4 linked regions of the Oryzias latipes genome follow. The protein of the gene in region 3 binds, or shares a complex with, the protein of the main gene of each other region. Links are inferred from orthologs where the notes say so. Each region holds a gene or a part of one and is shown on either strand. Other genes may lie near its edges.

Region 1 (4,034 bases), about 24 Mb from region 3:
TTTTTCAAATGAGTAGATTACTGAAGTTCATTTTCTTAAGGCAAATTGAACTTTTTTGCCTGACACCGAAAAAAATGGATGTATCTGTTCTTCAGTACAAGCCTGGGCGGGAAATGAAAAACACATTTCTTTTCTTAATATCTTGTTTTTAATGCATTTGGAGACACTATATTAATACCTAATCTATCACATGAAGTGTGTTGATAAAAGAAGAAGAAGAGAACGTTGAGAAAAATCAAGTTTATGCTGCCAAATTCTCAGTGTTTGTTCTTATTAAAGCATAGGGAGAATTATTTGCCTATTAAACTTTATTGTCATTGTTTATGTAAAGATTCTCATGGAGACTCAATGTGTCGTTTTAATGTAACAACTGTTATGATGACCAAACTACAAGAAGCAATGAAATAAACTACGGTTAAAAACAAACAGATTTATAGACTAACTATCCATATTGTTTCAGACATGTTTGAACTCCAATAGCGTCAAATCCTACATACAAAATTTTCATATTAAAAAATGAAAATGTTTCTGCTTGTCCTTCGTAAACTTTTGATTTTGTAACCAGAAATTGTGAGTTTTTTTTAAATATTGTAATGTTTTCTGATTTTTCTTTTTAATTTATTTATTTATTTTTAGGTAAATAAAATATATCTAACACACAAGTCCAAAAATATATTCCTAAAGAAATCTTTACTTGTGTGTGAGCTTATGAGGATTTATTACGAGACCATGTAGTGCAGTGTTGAGTTGAGGGTGAACATCCAGTTATACATCTCAGAGCACCGTGGAAAATCAAAAACATTGCCAGAAAATGTCATAAATGTTAGGGTTTAAAAAATAAATTAATGTCAACTTAAAAATTCTAAATATTTTTATAAAACCCATAAATCAATTTGCTCATTGAGTACATTTTGTATCTTTCAGGGGGAAAAAAAAGTTTTTTTTGAGTGTTTTTTTTTATACAACAATTTCTTATTCAATCAATACAAATTTCTTTTTTTGGGTATAATTTTAATAACATTTTTTTTTTTGAAAAACTGTTATTTTAACCTAAAATCACAATTAAAAAACGTCAAATATTGTCTGATTGCAAATTCAATCATGATAGTGTAAACCCAAACTGTAAAGATTTTAAACATAAAAAAAACTAAAAATAGCAACAAATATTTATTAAGGCAAAATACTTTTTTTTTTTTTGCACCGGTCTATGTCATTGTTCAATAAAGTTTGGGGAAAAAAACAATATACTTCCGGCTCACGCCGGTCAAGGACCAATCACGGTTGACTTCTACAGTACCGGGGCAAGTAATGCAACTTTTATTTACTACACTCTTCTGCTTAACATAAAAGCGTGATTATTGGAAAAAAAATCTGAATACAGACAGTGAGCACGCTGCTCGTTTCCTCCGTAAATATCAGGTATGATGGTTTTCCGTCCAAATCAGACTGAACAGAACCAAACTTAGCTAGAATACGAGCATGTGTTTTTCAGTGTTAGCATTAGCATGAATGCTAACTCGTCATTCATTTTGATCATTATCAGTGAACTAGCAAATCAAAAAAGAAAGGTACAGCCAAGATCACAGTCTAAAAATTTATTTTGCGTAGTTCATGGCATGCTTTTTAGAATGATAACATTATTATAACAACTTGTTGTAGCTTAGCCCGTTTAGCTGACGGATAGCTAATTCAGTCAGCGCATTCGCGCGCGTCGATCATGTCTGTCAAGTAATATTACAGCTGTATCACCTGCTAAACCTTCACACATTTCATTGACAACCTAAACCCGTATTTATTCTAAAATGCTTGTTTCTAGAACTTAATAGCGTTTGAAATTTATTTCAGTGAGTGTTCGGGTTGATTGAAGGCCAATTATGAATGAATGATGAATGGATTTTTTTCTTCTAATGTCCGAAACAGCAAATTAGTTTAAATAATCTATGAATTATTATTATTAATTAATATATCACATTAATATTTACCCAAACTGCAGTAAAAATATTGCAACCTTCAAAGTAAAAAAAACAATCTAAACATCTAGTTATTAGTGTATGTATATACTGTGGGTATGTAAAAATACAAAAGTGTTTGTTTTGGTGATCCCAGAAATTAAAATTAGCATTTTGTTTAACCTAAATAGAAAGTAGCACCTTATTTAAGGGAGACAATATCAGAAAATTTTAAGATTACTTTGGCTAATACAGATGATCAGTCTTTTATTTTTATAAATTGAAAAAAAAAAAAAAAACGTTTTTTACACCCTTCTTAGAATTAATAATTAAAGTTAAATAAATGCTTTAGGCCTCCATGCATCAGTGGTGGGTTATGAGCAATTCAAATATTAAATTTAACTTTATTTTTATAGTATTTTTCCTGCTATAGAGCATTTCAAAGTGCATCCCACAATAAAATAGATACTAGGAAGATTTAAAAAAAATTAGTAAAAATAATACTAATAATAATTATAAGATAAATCATATTTTAAAAAAAACCACATACACATCCCACAAGTACAATAAAAAAAAAATCCAATTAATATAAACAGCAATTTCTGTCTCTGTCATTACCGTCCCTATGACTCTAACATGGTGAAATCTGTTGTAAGCATTCTGATGCTTTTATCCTGGCTGTGTAATACAAGTAGAATTATAGTTAAGACCTGCTAGAGGAAAACTTTATTACTGGTTGTTGCTGACGGTTATCTTTTTATCCAGTTATAAACAGCACAAGTAACTGAGCAGATGCAGCCCATTGTAGCTGAGTATCGGTACTGTTTTTTACATTACAAATATACTCAACTAAAACACATGGGGCAGTGAAACTGCTTTCTAAGGCACAATATTTTTACAAAAGGTAACGTAAACTTAAAATGTAACGAATAAGTTTATTTATTGTAGGATGATTTTATCATGTTGTGATTTTCCTAACTTGGTTGGACTCAATCTTGTGTTTTGTTTTGTTTTTCCAATATATCCATAATTGATGCTTACCTTAAACAAGAAGGAGGTTGTACATCAGAGCTAGAAAAAACAAACATGTGTAGAGCTGCATTGTTAACATGTAAACATAACGTGGTTAAATGTAGGTCACATAAATAACTGAAAGTGCTTTTCCCTGTCGCCGTAGGGCAATGGATGGAGAAGGTTTTGGGGAGCTTCTGCAGCAGGCAGAACAGCTGGCTGCAGAAACAGAAGCTGTGTCAGAGCTGCCTCATGTTGAAAGGAACCTTCAGGAGATCCAGCAAGCCGGAGAGAGGCTTCGATCCCGCACGCTTACCCGCACGCCTCACGACGCAGCAGACGTAAAAGCGTGAGGACTTTGTCTTCCTTTTTGGTTTTAGTTATGATTTGTAGACTCACCAGACGCAATAGTAATGTCAACCTTTTGGCAGCAGAGGGACCTATTTCTCATTTCCAAAAGTATTATTGAATTTAGAGCATCCACTGCTATTAACTATTATGTGCTACAACATGCCAAAATAATCAGTAAATGATTTTAAACTCTAGCAATTCAAGGTGACATATCTTCAAAGTATTTTCATACTTTCCACTTCTTTTTTAGTTTTTAAATGTATTTTATAGAATGTTTTAAATAACAAGCACCTCTTGTGCCCTCTAGTGGGTGACATGTTGTTGTTAAAGTCTCCTTTTCTCACAACTTGTTGTTCCTTTTTTTGTTTTAGATCAATCCTTCTTGGTTCAAGAGGATTAGACATCTTCCACATTTCCCAGAGACTGGAGACCCTAAGCGCTGCCACAACCTTTGAGCCTCTGGAGCCAGTCAAAGACACCGATATACAGGTAAAATCCTTGCATGGCATCATGGAAACAATGTTTAAGGATCGAATGCATAAGGTTTATATAAACAATATAGCTAGAAAGCTGTTGATCCTAAATTTTTAGATAGATTAAATGGGAAAGCATTGGTTATTCAATGTAAATATATTTTGTAGTGAATCAAAAACCTTTCAAGGTTTTTCTACAATATTAAGACATCTTTGAGGCCTACTATACCAATTTTTTTCTCATGCGATT
Region 2 (4,118 bases), on a different chromosome or scaffold from region 3:
CAGAAACAAACACAAGAGCTGATTCAATAACAGACGTCGTCCATGAAGGCTCTCACTCATCCAGGTGACATCTTAAAGTCGAATCATGGCATCTGGACTTGAAATCCACACAATAAAAGAAGTTCCACAACCAAACTTTTAAATACAAAGAAAAGAAAGCACTCATTCAGGTTTCTGTAAAAGTTTGTCATTCTCACCCGATAGGGATGTCGCTCGTCCTGAAAGTATGTGAGCAGCAGAAGAACACAGCGGAGCAAACACATCCGCTCTTCATAGTAGTAATCAGCAATCTATGGACATCATACATATACCAATAAATCCTTTAAATAAAAGCAGGAAGTAAAACTATTATTAGAATTACATCCATCAAGGACCTTTCGCTCACCTTTAGCAGTAACGCCTGACTCTGTCGATCGTCTTTTAGGACAACCTACGGAAAAAAACTTTTGTTTAATTTTTCCTCCCGCCAATTATTTTTTTCCTCTTCAATTTTTTGACTGCGAGAACAAAAACCTTTAGGGAGTCTCTGGTCCCTCTGTAGTCCTCCTGAAGATAACATTGTAAAAGCTGTACGCTCTGCTCCTCGTCAAGGTTCTGCAAAATTTCCATTGTACCGAATGACATCAAGACACAGACACATCTAAAAAAAAACTAAATACATTAACAGAAATGTCAAAATCTTACCAACAGTTTACTGATCCTTAAACCAAAGTCTTTCAGCGGCTGTGGGACATTTTTGTTTTCCTTAACCTTCCCTGCAGAGCTTGAGCTTCAACAAACGAGTCCAACAACGATGCATTAAGCTCCGAGTAGGTACATCTTTAAAAGTGCAGTCATTAAAGAAAGTTCAGGAACATTCTTGCTTGTAACCTCACCTGGGTTGCTTGTAGTAACTGAGTCCTTGATGGAGTCTATCCCAGTGTCTTTCAAGTTCTGCTTCTATTTGCGCCTGCAAAAGACACACGAAGAAATGTAAATGTTAAAAAACTTGATTTGCCTCCAACACATATTATGTGTCATACAAAACCTGTACATGAATTGTGTGTTTTATAAGTACCGGTACATTATACTGTGCATTGTTAGCATAGAGAATAAAGGTAAAAGCTAAACATACCGGTTCTCTCAAAGCGGATCTGCCAAGCAGAATGGTCCACAGTTCTCGACAGCTCCTATGAAAATCAAGGTTTTATTTTCACAAGTTTTATATGTACAGATCATTATAAAAATGCCCCAAATCATCATGACACACACATATACATATAGATACACACGCAAGCGCACACACACACATACATGGTCTACTCTAACTAACCTGTTCTTTCCTACAGGTTCCACCCATGGGAAAACCTTAGATTACCGTACTTTGGGAGACTATAATGTTATGCATCTTTTTAAAGGTCCAATCCTATATTCCAGCATGCCAAAATTACAGGGAGAAACTCAGCTAACGGGCTGTAATAGGCAGGCATCGCTACCTATATGTTATAGGTCCTTGAGTTTTATTTGTTGACCATCTGTTTGTTTAAAAAAAAAAAGAAAAAAAGAGGGCAAGTCTGCGTCATTTTTATGACAGCCGACCCTCCGGATTTCCAAGAAAGCCTTTCAGGGTTAGTAGTGTATTTGTGGAAGCCCATTAGTGAGGTCAGACACTATGTTGGATGAGAAAGGCCGTGCTCACACTCTTCACTCTATGCTATTGTGTTCAAATACAGTGAGTGGGCTTCTTTAGTCCTTGCTTTGAGCAAAGCAACTTTCTATGTTTCTATGATGTCGGAAATATCTACTGAAGCATTAAGAGTTCTTTTTACTGGGTCAACCATACCACAACCATCACTCCACCAAACTTCACATTTGACAACGCAGTCAGACAAGTGACTGTTTTTGTGGAAACCACCAAACCCAGACTGGTCCATCACTGACTGCGGAAAATTGCTGACCTGTGCACACAGGAGCTGCCGTTCACACAGAGAACTGCTTTGTGGCTTAGTTGTACCACTACTACTACCACTACTGACAATCAAACATTTCATATGGAGACCTCACATGTGTTGCACAATTCAGCGCTCATAGTAGCCTGGTCATTTACAAACGTTTGTTACAGTAGCCCGCGTGCCTTGAAATCCCTGGTTTTATACACACGTGGCCATGGAATTATACAGTAACTCTTTACGGAGGTGTATACTTCTGACAATTACACCACAGCTTAAACATTCCCCCGTTATTTATTCTATTCACGGATTCTTATGAAGTTGTAATCTTATTACTAAACAATTGTATTAATAATCTGTTCTGAGATAAAGTCTTAGTTGGAGTTTAGGTACAATAAGACTGAGAAATGTGACATACACGGGATACCAACTTGAATTCGCAGTTAAAATTGTGCCTTTACGGTGGTGTTTTCTATATGTTATGCCTAAATTACTCATTTTATTATAGTAACTAACTACTTATCACACATAAACGCAACATTACCTATGTGAGCGAAGCTAGTAGTAGTAGATTTGTTGACAAGCGGCACCTCGTTTCAGAGAGCCATTCAAACTAGCGGTTAGCGCAAGCTAAGCTAAGTTAGCTAGCTGCTGATAGCTCAAATCATCAAACGGTTACTGCTAATCTAGCGGGAGATATTTAGGTTACTATTTTAAAATGTTAACCAAGTTTTTGGTGTTTTAATGAATTATTCACTCAAAACAAATGTTAAGGAAAGTTTACTGTTGATTCTTTACCTGACGCTGATCTGAGAGTCCGCCATCTTCACTTCTGCCATGCGATTGGTTCACACACGATTCCGTCATTTCCGTTTTTCTTTTTGGAAGCATTTTTTATTAAAAAAAACTTTATTCAAAAAACAGAAATGACACAGCAAGGAACACTGAACAATAAACTGTCCAATTTTTTTTTCAAGACAACCAGGGAGGTATAAATACATAAATAAATAAATAAATAAATAAATAAATAAATAAATAAATAAATAAACAAACAAATAAATAAATAAATAAATAAATAAATCATGTTGATCTTTTAAGCTTACAAACATTATAGGGTTTGCCTGCTTTTATATTTGTATGGACAAAAGTCCAAATAATGTTTGATTTGGGCAAATATCTCAATTTTTTGGAATTGTATCAGTAAACCTAGCTTTATGAATATAATCCTTTGTTAATAAGATCAGGAGAATGATCATATATAATTTTGTGAAGACCTTTGACTTTGTAGCTGGCATCATGTGAAGAAAAACATTGCCACAAGTGTCTAGTAGGATAAACAGGTAAAATGTTGATGAATATATATTTTATCTGAAAACACTATAATAAGTATACTTTTTATTATTATTTGTGAAAAGATTAATATTTTTTTAAATTTTGTTTTGAATTCATGGTAACAACATAGGGGTTTTTCATGGTTTCAAGTTGGTTGGGGTGTGCTTACACAGGTAAAGATAATTTGTAATTTATGCCAATCTCAATAAATCTTCACTCAGAAAAAAAATAGATTCTCTTTATAATCTAAAAACTTATTTAAACTTACAAGACTTCATATTTATTTTATTGTCTTTTTTAATTTTGCTAATTATTAATTGTGTTTAAAATATTAGCGGTAAAAAGATTATTTTGTCTTATAAGTATATTTTTTGTTTGTTTATTTTCTTGAGCCAATATGTTCAGAAATTGTAGTTTTTCTTTGTAGTAGACTTTTATTTAAATAATAAAATAACATTTCTAATAAAAAATGATTTAATAAAAAAATAGAAAATTTGATTATTTTAAGGAAAGCCAATACTGTAATAGGGTAAGAGTTTAAAAACAAAATAAAATATAAATGTAAATCTCATCGCGTTTCGCCAATGGTTAGAATGTGTCACGTGACCCGGCTGTCAAAGATGGCCCCTTCCTACAGGGTGTGAGAAGAGAGACATCTGACAAAAAGAGGATTTTTATTCAAAGGGGACGGCAGCAGTTTGTATCCGAAACCACTATTCTAGAGGAAAACCCCATGAAATTAGGTGAGTACTGTTTTCGACGTAATCCTCTTTTAGTTATTGCGCTGCCTTTGGTGTGAGTTCAGCGGCGTCGTGCTAACGCAGGCAGCTGCTGTCAGCTCGATGCTGCGTCCTCGAT
Region 3 (3,500 bases):
TTGTGTACCAGTATTTGCTACTGACACCAACAGAGGAGAGAAATGCCGTTCAGTCTTAAACCAGGCTCGGCAGAGTTGCTCCAAAGCGACACAGAGGATGAAGAATTCAACAGATTTAGGGATTTGAAGTGATATACGGAGTGTGGTCGACTACTTGGCATGCTCTTTATGCTATGTTTGTCTTACAGGGCTTGTGCAAAATTTTGCTTTTTAACAGTCATTGGGATTTTTAATCTCTTAAAGAGCATCATCCACAATATTTTTTTTTAGCTTTAAAGTGTATTGTAATGTTCATTCCTCACCAAAAACAACCCTAAAGTGGTATTCAAGCATTTCTGAGTATTCCTCTAAAAACATGACTGTGCACACCAGCCCCTCCCAACCCACCAAAACAAGTGGCTTCTAACATTGTGAGGTAGATAATGGGGAAAAGCCTCTTTCAGGAAGAGTCTGTGCTGTCAGCACCACCCCCAGGCTAACACACACCCACGTTCTCCATTGAGCTAGCAGTATTCAGCTAAACGCTTTCCTTTCATACGCACAATATTGCACATTCATCTATGCAAAATTTTGGATGTTTGTGTTCTTTCGTGTGGCATTCTGACGCAGTGAAAAGCGGCTTTTCACATCGGCTTTGCATTGATATTCTACACATCACTGAAGTAAAGTGTTGCATTATGGTGCAAAGCTGCTTTTCAGCAGAGACGGCAAAGGTGATGTCAGCGTGCACTCACCTGCAGAGCTTTGATGATGGCCGCGGCACTGAAGTGCAGCGGAGAGAACAGGACATCCAGATAGGTCTCCTAAAAAGAACACACCACATCTATATAAACATAAACATTAACCATGTCACTCACACCAGGCTGTGTTCCATCACAATCACCGGTCATACCCTGGGGTCCAGATCCATTCCCACAGGAACTTCTTCCTCAGGCAGAGGCTGAACAAACACTTGGTTCCACTGACCTGATGCACTCCTGTAACACACAGACTAATCAGAACCAATTGCCCAACACGGGAACTTAAAAGTCCAGTTCCAGGATCATATACTTCCAATGAGCCAATGATCCAGAATGACTCAAACGTACTGCTCAAAGCTGATGTATTTGACCACTGTGGCATTGGAGTCATCCACCCACAAAGCCCAGACATCTGAGGAGGTCAGAGAAAAGTCCACCAGGGTCTCCTGTCAGACACAAATCGAGTTCTGTCAGAATCACAGCTACTACACAGGACCACATAACCGGCCCCGGCTGTTGGTTGGCCAGCTGTGGACACAAACGCAGCTCAGACCCCGCTGACTGTAATGGAGAGCTGGACTGAGTGAGTGTGATGTCATCCATAGAAAATGGTTTACTTCCTGCTCTAACCAAATGAAGTCAATTCAGAGCCCATTTTTGGCGATAAGGACGCAGCCATGTTGGAGTCGGACAATGTCAGTAAGCAGTAATTGGTCCAAGTCTGTCTGAGAAAACACTTCTCTGGCAACCAGCCTCACCAATCAGGAGTAAGCTTGTTGGAAAGCCACACCCCTATCACTTTAAGGCTGGCTTGGGAGAATCTGTTAAAAGCTTTGAACATTGGATATGGGGCCACCGGGCACCACAAACCTTTATTGAAGCATCTGATTGGTCAGTTTATAACTTTGAATAACTTGCACTACAGAAAAATATCATGAAAAAAAGAAAATGATCAAGAACATGTTAAAAAAGGTAACAGATCAAAAATGGTCATTCTGTGAGTAACAGCTGTTTATTTCTCTATTGAAGACAATGGGATTTTTGCATAATGGAGCCAGTAGGTACTTCCTGCCTGGAACACCAAGGGGGAGGGGTCACTCAGTCCAGCTCTTGTTTACAGTTAATGAGTAGGCCGCTCAAAAGAGGGTTCTACTGCATCTGTCCCTGCTCAATATCTAAAACTTTCCCACTGCCACAACATCTCCATGGAAACCAATCAACCAATCTTCCTGATTGCAGTCAGTACTTAAGTGTAACTGTCCGCATTTCTGTTTGGACTGCGCATCTTAAACCCCATTAGAAACAGAAACCTACAAATTCACGCTTTAGTACGTTTTCTGGTCCAGTAGCCGCCCGTGGATCTTCACGACTGCAGACTGGTCCTGCTGTGGTGGACCCAAATGCTAACAACCCTACCACCATGCAACTTACCAGCGTGCTGAACAGGGAGGAGATGTGCTCCAGGCTGTAGCGATTGTTGTCAGTGCCCACCAGCTGAAAGACGGTGAACTGTCCTTTCTGAGGGACAGCCAGGTAAACACACAGACAGAGGCCGGTGGAAGGGGAGAAGGCCAGCCGTAGGCGGTGACCCTGACCAGACAGTCGTTTTACACCTCTGCAGGCCGGCATATATTCCAGAATGTCTATTTCCAGAAGGCACGTCTGCTCCTGTGGACGCAAAAAAAACCAGTATAACAGGCAGAAGCCACGGGACGGAGTCCATCATGAAGGGGACACACTGACCCTGAGAGACCACATGCGAAGTCTGTGGTCCTGGCACAAAGCAAAGATGAAGGAGTCTTCCTCCAGCTCTCTGACAGCCATGCTGAGAACAAGATCTCCTGGACTCTGCTCCCCTCGGATGGCTGTGGGCATCCATCCTGAGATCCTCCTCATCATGGAGCTCCTCTTCAGCTCCACCACAGACAGGTCGCCTACACAAGGGATAGAGGCTTCACTGCACCACCTGAACATCACCCAAGCATCACCAGATGGAAAGCTGGTCCTCACCCTGTGTGTCGTGGCGTGGCAGCGTCACCACAGCGATGCCCCCAGATGGTGATGCCAGAGCGAAGTGGGCCTCTCCCTGGAGGCTGAGCCAGGCCGCACTGGTGCTCAGACTCCCCGAAAGTCCTGGCACGTTGGGGATGACGGCGCTGTTAGGCCAATCCTGAAGATTCAGCTTCCCCACATCAGTGAAGATGGACTGCATGTGCAGCTCAGAGACAAGTTCCTGCAGAACAGCAGGAGGTTCCTCACACAGACATCAGGAAAACCAGCTTCAGTAGCATGATCACTGCAAGGTGAAGATTGGTACTAAACGCACAACCACAGCACGTATGCAGCTAACACTAAGAGCTATGGAAGAAAAAAAGAGCTTTATTCCACAGAAATCTGGGATGGTTAAAGGGTCAGAATCTAGAACCCAAATGGGTTTGGACTCCTAACACCGAGCTGCAGCCAAACACTGGAGTGTGTTGACGGAGCGGGATCTCCTGCAGGGATAATAAGCCTGTTGTTCTTGTTCTACTCACGCTGCGGTACATGCGAGCAGGATGAGGCAGCAGCACTCTGTGGACACTCTGATTGGTGCAGATGAGGATGATGACATTGTAGAGGGTCTCCTGTATGCTGACCCCCCCAGGCAGGACAGAGCAGTGGGGGAACTTGAACTTGACGGCATTGTTCAGGAGGTTGATGTCCAGAGACTCCTCCACCAGCTGCACCGTGTCTCCCGACGTGATCCTGCAACGAGTGTGA
Region 4 (3,994 bases), on a different chromosome or scaffold from region 3:
ACACTCACACAAACAGTTCAAAAGTCAAGATCGACTTAAATCTTGATCTTTACAGAAAGTCAGTCCAGTTTTTACTGTTGGAAAGTCTTCTCATGTCCAGCGGGATTCAGACTCACGGGCTCTGAGGGGGCGTCCACTGGCTCTGTGGAGAAACGTCTGGGTCCAGCTCAGAAGGCGTTCCGGGCTCCTCCTCAGGAGTCTGCGGTCATGATGGCGAGGAACTCCTCCTGGTTTACTGAGGAAACACCGGTCTGCTCAGACTCTCAAGGCCTGTTCACACCGGGACGAATTTCGTCGGCGAAACGCCTCGTGACTAAACAAAGGGCACCAACGAGAGTGTGCACACCGACGCGAAAAAACGCCATGCGTTAAAGCGTCAAAAAAAAAAAACGCCTCGGGTTCGTTTTTTTTTTTTCGACGCGTCGCATCGAAATCTATTCGACCAATGAGAATGGCGCTTTTGCTCACGTGTCTGGAGCTTCTGAAGTTACAGTAAAACACAACTTGGGGGCGCTCAAACACAAAACTGCCTTGCTGAGCACACATACCAGCGAAGAAGATAGACGCCAAGTAGCGTCTACACAGCCGCGAAGCAATAATGACGGACATTCTAAAATATCCCCGAACCAAGCACCAGTTGGAGCTACTGATGCTTGAAATATTAATGTTTTCTTTGTTTGATTCTGACAAGCGTGTAAATACTTGCTCTCTTCTTCTGAGTGAAAAGCGACTTTAAGAAGCGTAAAGTTGCGCAGCGCCACCTTGTGTACAGGAGTATTTCTGTTTACATTAAGCGCCATCTAATGTCAGGGAATGAAATTGCATGTTCGCTCGGCTCATCGTCAGCGAAAATCGCCTGGGTGTGAACACAAAAAACGTGGAGAAAAACGCTGGCGAATAACGCCTGGCGAATATTCGTCCCGGTGTGTACGGGCCTTCGGGTCGCTAAAACTCTGGAACAGGTCAGCTGAGGAAACCGTGAGGGGAGGAGCCGCGCTCTCCGCCCAATCACCGGCGACCTCGGAGCGGGAACGCCAGAACCTTCCTGCCATGGAGGTCAGAGAGCGATGGGATTTCTAAAGCAGGAGCCGCACCGGGAGAAGAGCGGTCCACCTACGATCAGGAGGTCGCAGGTTTATGCGTTGAAGTGACCTTGAGCGAGAGACTGAACCCCCACCTTGCCCCTCTGTTGTCATGGCAGCTCTGCCGCCTTCAGAGTGACCTTAAAACGCGTTAGACCTGCATAAGAGCTACATAAGTACAGGCTGTTGACCCTCATCTCCGCGGCAACGACAGAACACGTGTCATCCGGTGAAGGGGGCGTGGCTTTAACCTGAGCGAATGCAGACTTACTCTCTCCGTCTCTGTCGGTGTCGAACTCGTCGATCATGCTGCGCAGCTCTTCGTCGTTGATGTCCTCGCCGAGCTCTCGGGCGACCCTCCTCAGGTTCCTCAGGCTGATCCTCCCGGACTCGTCGTCGTCGAACAGCTTGAAGGCCTTCAGGACCTCCTCCTTCGGGTCCCGCTCCAGGATGCGGTCCGTCACTGCGGGCAGACGCGTTTCAGGGCGGCTCCTCGTCGCCTGGCTCTGAGGAAGAGGAGGCCAGTGACTCACCTACTTCACTGAAGTCCTCAAAGGTGATCTTCCTGTTCCCGTCTCTGTCGTAGTCCTTCAGGATCTTCAGGACGTCCATCTTCTTCACTTCAAAGCCCAGGGCGCGCATCGCCACCTGGTGGGACCGTGACAGATGACACCTTTGGTCTCGTTTCCACGGTTTCCATCCGATCCGCCGCCGCTCACCTTCAGCTCGTGATAATCGATCTGTCGGTCCTTGTCCGTGTCAAACAGGTCGAAGGCCTCCTTGACCTCGTGCTTCTGCTCCTCGGTGAGCTCCCTCCTCTTATTAGGCTTGTTTTTGTCGGCCTGGTCGGTTCTGCGGAGCAAAACCAGAGTCACAGATTCTCCCTGTGACCACAAACCAGAGCTTGAACCTCGCCGTTCAACCGTGAAGGATGGACGAAGACAAAAAAACAAGAGTTTGAACATCTTCATCAGTCAGGAACAGACATGAAGGCAGGAGAAGACTGACGGCAAACTCTGAGCCGAGAGAGAAACCTGCTTCAACCAACTCAGAGATCTCCGATCAGATTTGAGCCAATAAGAACCCAGACCCATTTAGTCTTATCGTAGTATTTGACCACAAACCACAGAATCCTATTTCTGATATTTTTCTGTCACATTGACGTCACAACAGGTTTATTTGGAGAACCTTTGACCAAATATGGTGGAAAAACAAACGTTATTTCAAAATAAAAGAACTCATTCCCCGAAACGAGCTTTTGGTCCCGGAAAGTCCAAATCAGGTGAAATATTATCTACCGAGGACAGAACCTGAGAGGTCACAGAATTTCGGTGCAACGTCTTCAGCCAAGCTCAGATTGATTCAGAGACAGCTCCACCGAACCGAACCCTTTGACAGACACACATTTGGACCGTTTGGACCGACGCAGCCCTTTGACCGAGTCTCCGGTCAACAAGCTCTGAATGTTTGAGGCAAACGGGCGACATGCTAACGTCGGCTAACAAGGCGAGAGAACCGGAAATGACGTCACCGTAAAAGCTGCGATCCTCACCTCAGAGACAGACTCATTGCGATCGAATTGCAGATCCAAACGCGAAGATTTCACTTCCAAGGAACGGCTACTGTCGCTCAACGAGCAAAAACAAACCCCGCGTGTCCGCGCTCAGATCCGAGGTCCTCATTGGTCGGTGGTCTCTAGGCAACAGCAAGGCGCTCGCTTAGTGGCGCTCTGTTTTTTTTTCTTCGGGAGCAAACTGAACCCAAGCGGGACACCAGCGCCCCCTGCTGTCGTCTGTCATTGCTACATCTGCTAATACTGACGCTGGAATCCTTTTCAAAGTCAAATAAAATGTAGAAAAACTTTAAATAGAAAATCAGTTTGTGATTCACAAAAGAATAATCCAGATAACTTTAAGACACATTCCGGCCATCTTTTGATCTATTTCCCTTCCTGTGGACAGTTTTACAGGACAGTTTCTGCAGATCCACAGGAGTTCATCAGAGGTTCTCCTCTGAGTTGTGGCCATTGGCACACAGTAAGCCTGTCTAATTTCCCATGATTCCTTTGTTTACACTCTTTCCTGCTATCTAACAGCCCCCCCCCCAACCCCCCCAACATTACTGGTGCAACAAAAATGGCAGCCTCATCAGATCCGTCCATTCGTCCAGTTCAGACTCCAGCTCAGACCAGGAAAACAGAGATGTTTATGGATCTATTTGTCTGACAGTGAATGCATCGGAATGGAGCGCAGCACGGAGCTTGTGGCACCGCCCAGCACATTTTTTTCTTTTTTAAACTGCATTTTTTTAGTCTGCTCCTGATTCACAACAAATGAAAATTTGCGCTTAATTTTCTTCATACATGGTCCTCCATCATCAAGAACATGTTAAAAACACCTAAATATTAGACTTTGTCCTCCAACAGTTCAGCACACCCTTTATTTGTTGTAACTTGTTACTCTGAACTGATGACAAGTTTTCCTCATAAACATTGGTCAACGGTCCTGTTATGTCTGATGTCTGTCTGTCAACATTAAAGGCATGTAACCCATAATGGTCCTGGCTTGTTGAACAGTCGTCCTTCTCTCTGGAATCCTGCCGGAGGTTTCTACCCTCTGGAAATGCTTGGAGCATTTCCCGAGGGTCTTTGTGCCCCCACCCCTGATTTGGGCTTTGTCTCAGTTTTATCAGGGATTTCCCATGGTGCTCCGGGATGAAGGTGCCGCCCGGTCTCGGCTCACGTCGGGGCGTTTCCTGTGTCACATGTGTCATCCTAGATAACGCCTGAGTGAAAAACCATGTCGCCTCAGGAGAGATTCAAGCTCAGCAGAGTCTAAGTCAGAAAAAAATACAAAAAAACAGGTGGTAACAACAACAACAGGCAGTAGTTTGTGACGGAATGAAAATAACAG

Evidence for each region. The genes of interacting proteins can lie anywhere in the genome.
Region 1: nup160 (region 3) and nup93 share a complex: the UniProt entries of both Homo sapiens proteins name them as parts of the nuclear pore complex. The link is inferred for Oryzias latipes from reciprocal best matches to the Homo sapiens genes NUP160 and NUP93.
Region 2: nup160 (region 3) and nup188 share a complex: the UniProt entries of both Homo sapiens proteins name them as parts of the nuclear pore complex. The link is inferred for Oryzias latipes from reciprocal best matches to the Homo sapiens genes NUP160 and NUP188.
Region 4: nup160 (region 3) and cetn3 share a complex: the UniProt entries of both Homo sapiens proteins name them as parts of the nuclear pore complex. The link is inferred for Oryzias latipes from reciprocal best matches to the Homo sapiens genes NUP160 and CETN3.

Annotation. Positions count from the first base shown.
Region 1 is NC_019864.2:28,020,781-28,024,814, forward strand, and holds the start of nup93 (nuclear pore complex protein Nup93), read left to right. Parts: upstream 1-1,234; 5' UTR 1,235-1,301; exon of another isoform or gene 1,302-1,419; intron 1,420-3,126; 5' UTR 3,127-3,130; coding exon 3,131-3,309; intron 3,310-3,682; coding exon 3,683-3,800; intron 3,801-4,034. UniProt on the Homo sapiens protein: Plays a role in the nuclear pore complex (NPC) assembly and/or maintenance. May anchor nucleoporins, but not NUP153 and TPR, to the NPC. During renal development, regulates podocyte migration and proliferation through SMAD4 signaling.
Region 2 is NC_019870.2:8,134,775-8,138,892, reverse strand, and holds the start of nup188 (nucleoporin NUP188 homolog), read right to left. Parts: upstream 2,801-4,118; 5' UTR 2,768-2,800; coding exon 2,727-2,767; intron 1,170-2,726; coding exon 1,115-1,169; intron 950-1,114; coding exon 876-949; intron 770-875; coding exon 685-769; intron 595-684; coding exon 514-594; intron 431-513; coding exon 386-430; intron 291-385; coding exon 198-290; intron 1-197. Other genes in the region: dolk (dolichol kinase), read left to right, coding at 3,994-4,003. UniProt on the Homo sapiens protein: Component of the nuclear pore complex (NPC), a complex required for the trafficking across the nuclear envelope. Required for proper protein transport into the nucleus.
Region 3 is NC_019864.2:4,334,703-4,338,202, reverse strand, and holds part of nup160 (nuclear pore complex protein Nup160), read right to left. Parts: intron 3,486-3,500; coding exon 3,275-3,485; intron 2,974-3,274; coding exon 2,751-2,973; intron 2,675-2,750; coding exon 2,484-2,674; intron 2,409-2,483; coding exon 2,172-2,408; intron 1,187-2,171; coding exon 1,089-1,186; intron 978-1,088; coding exon 893-977; intron 804-892; coding exon 735-803; intron 1-734. UniProt on the Homo sapiens protein: Functions as a component of the nuclear pore complex (NPC). Involved in poly(A)+ RNA transport.
Region 4 is NC_019870.2:1,966,126-1,970,119, reverse strand, and holds the start of cetn3 (centrin-3), read right to left. Parts: upstream 2,801-3,994; 5' UTR 2,652-2,800; coding exon 2,635-2,651; intron 1,935-2,634; coding exon 1,802-1,934; intron 1,731-1,801; coding exon 1,616-1,730; intron 1,546-1,615; coding exon 1,354-1,545; intron 236-1,353; coding exon 192-235; 3' UTR 1-191. UniProt on the Homo sapiens protein: Plays a fundamental role in microtubule-organizing center structure and function. As a component of the TREX-2 complex, involved in the export of mRNAs to the cytoplasm through the nuclear pores.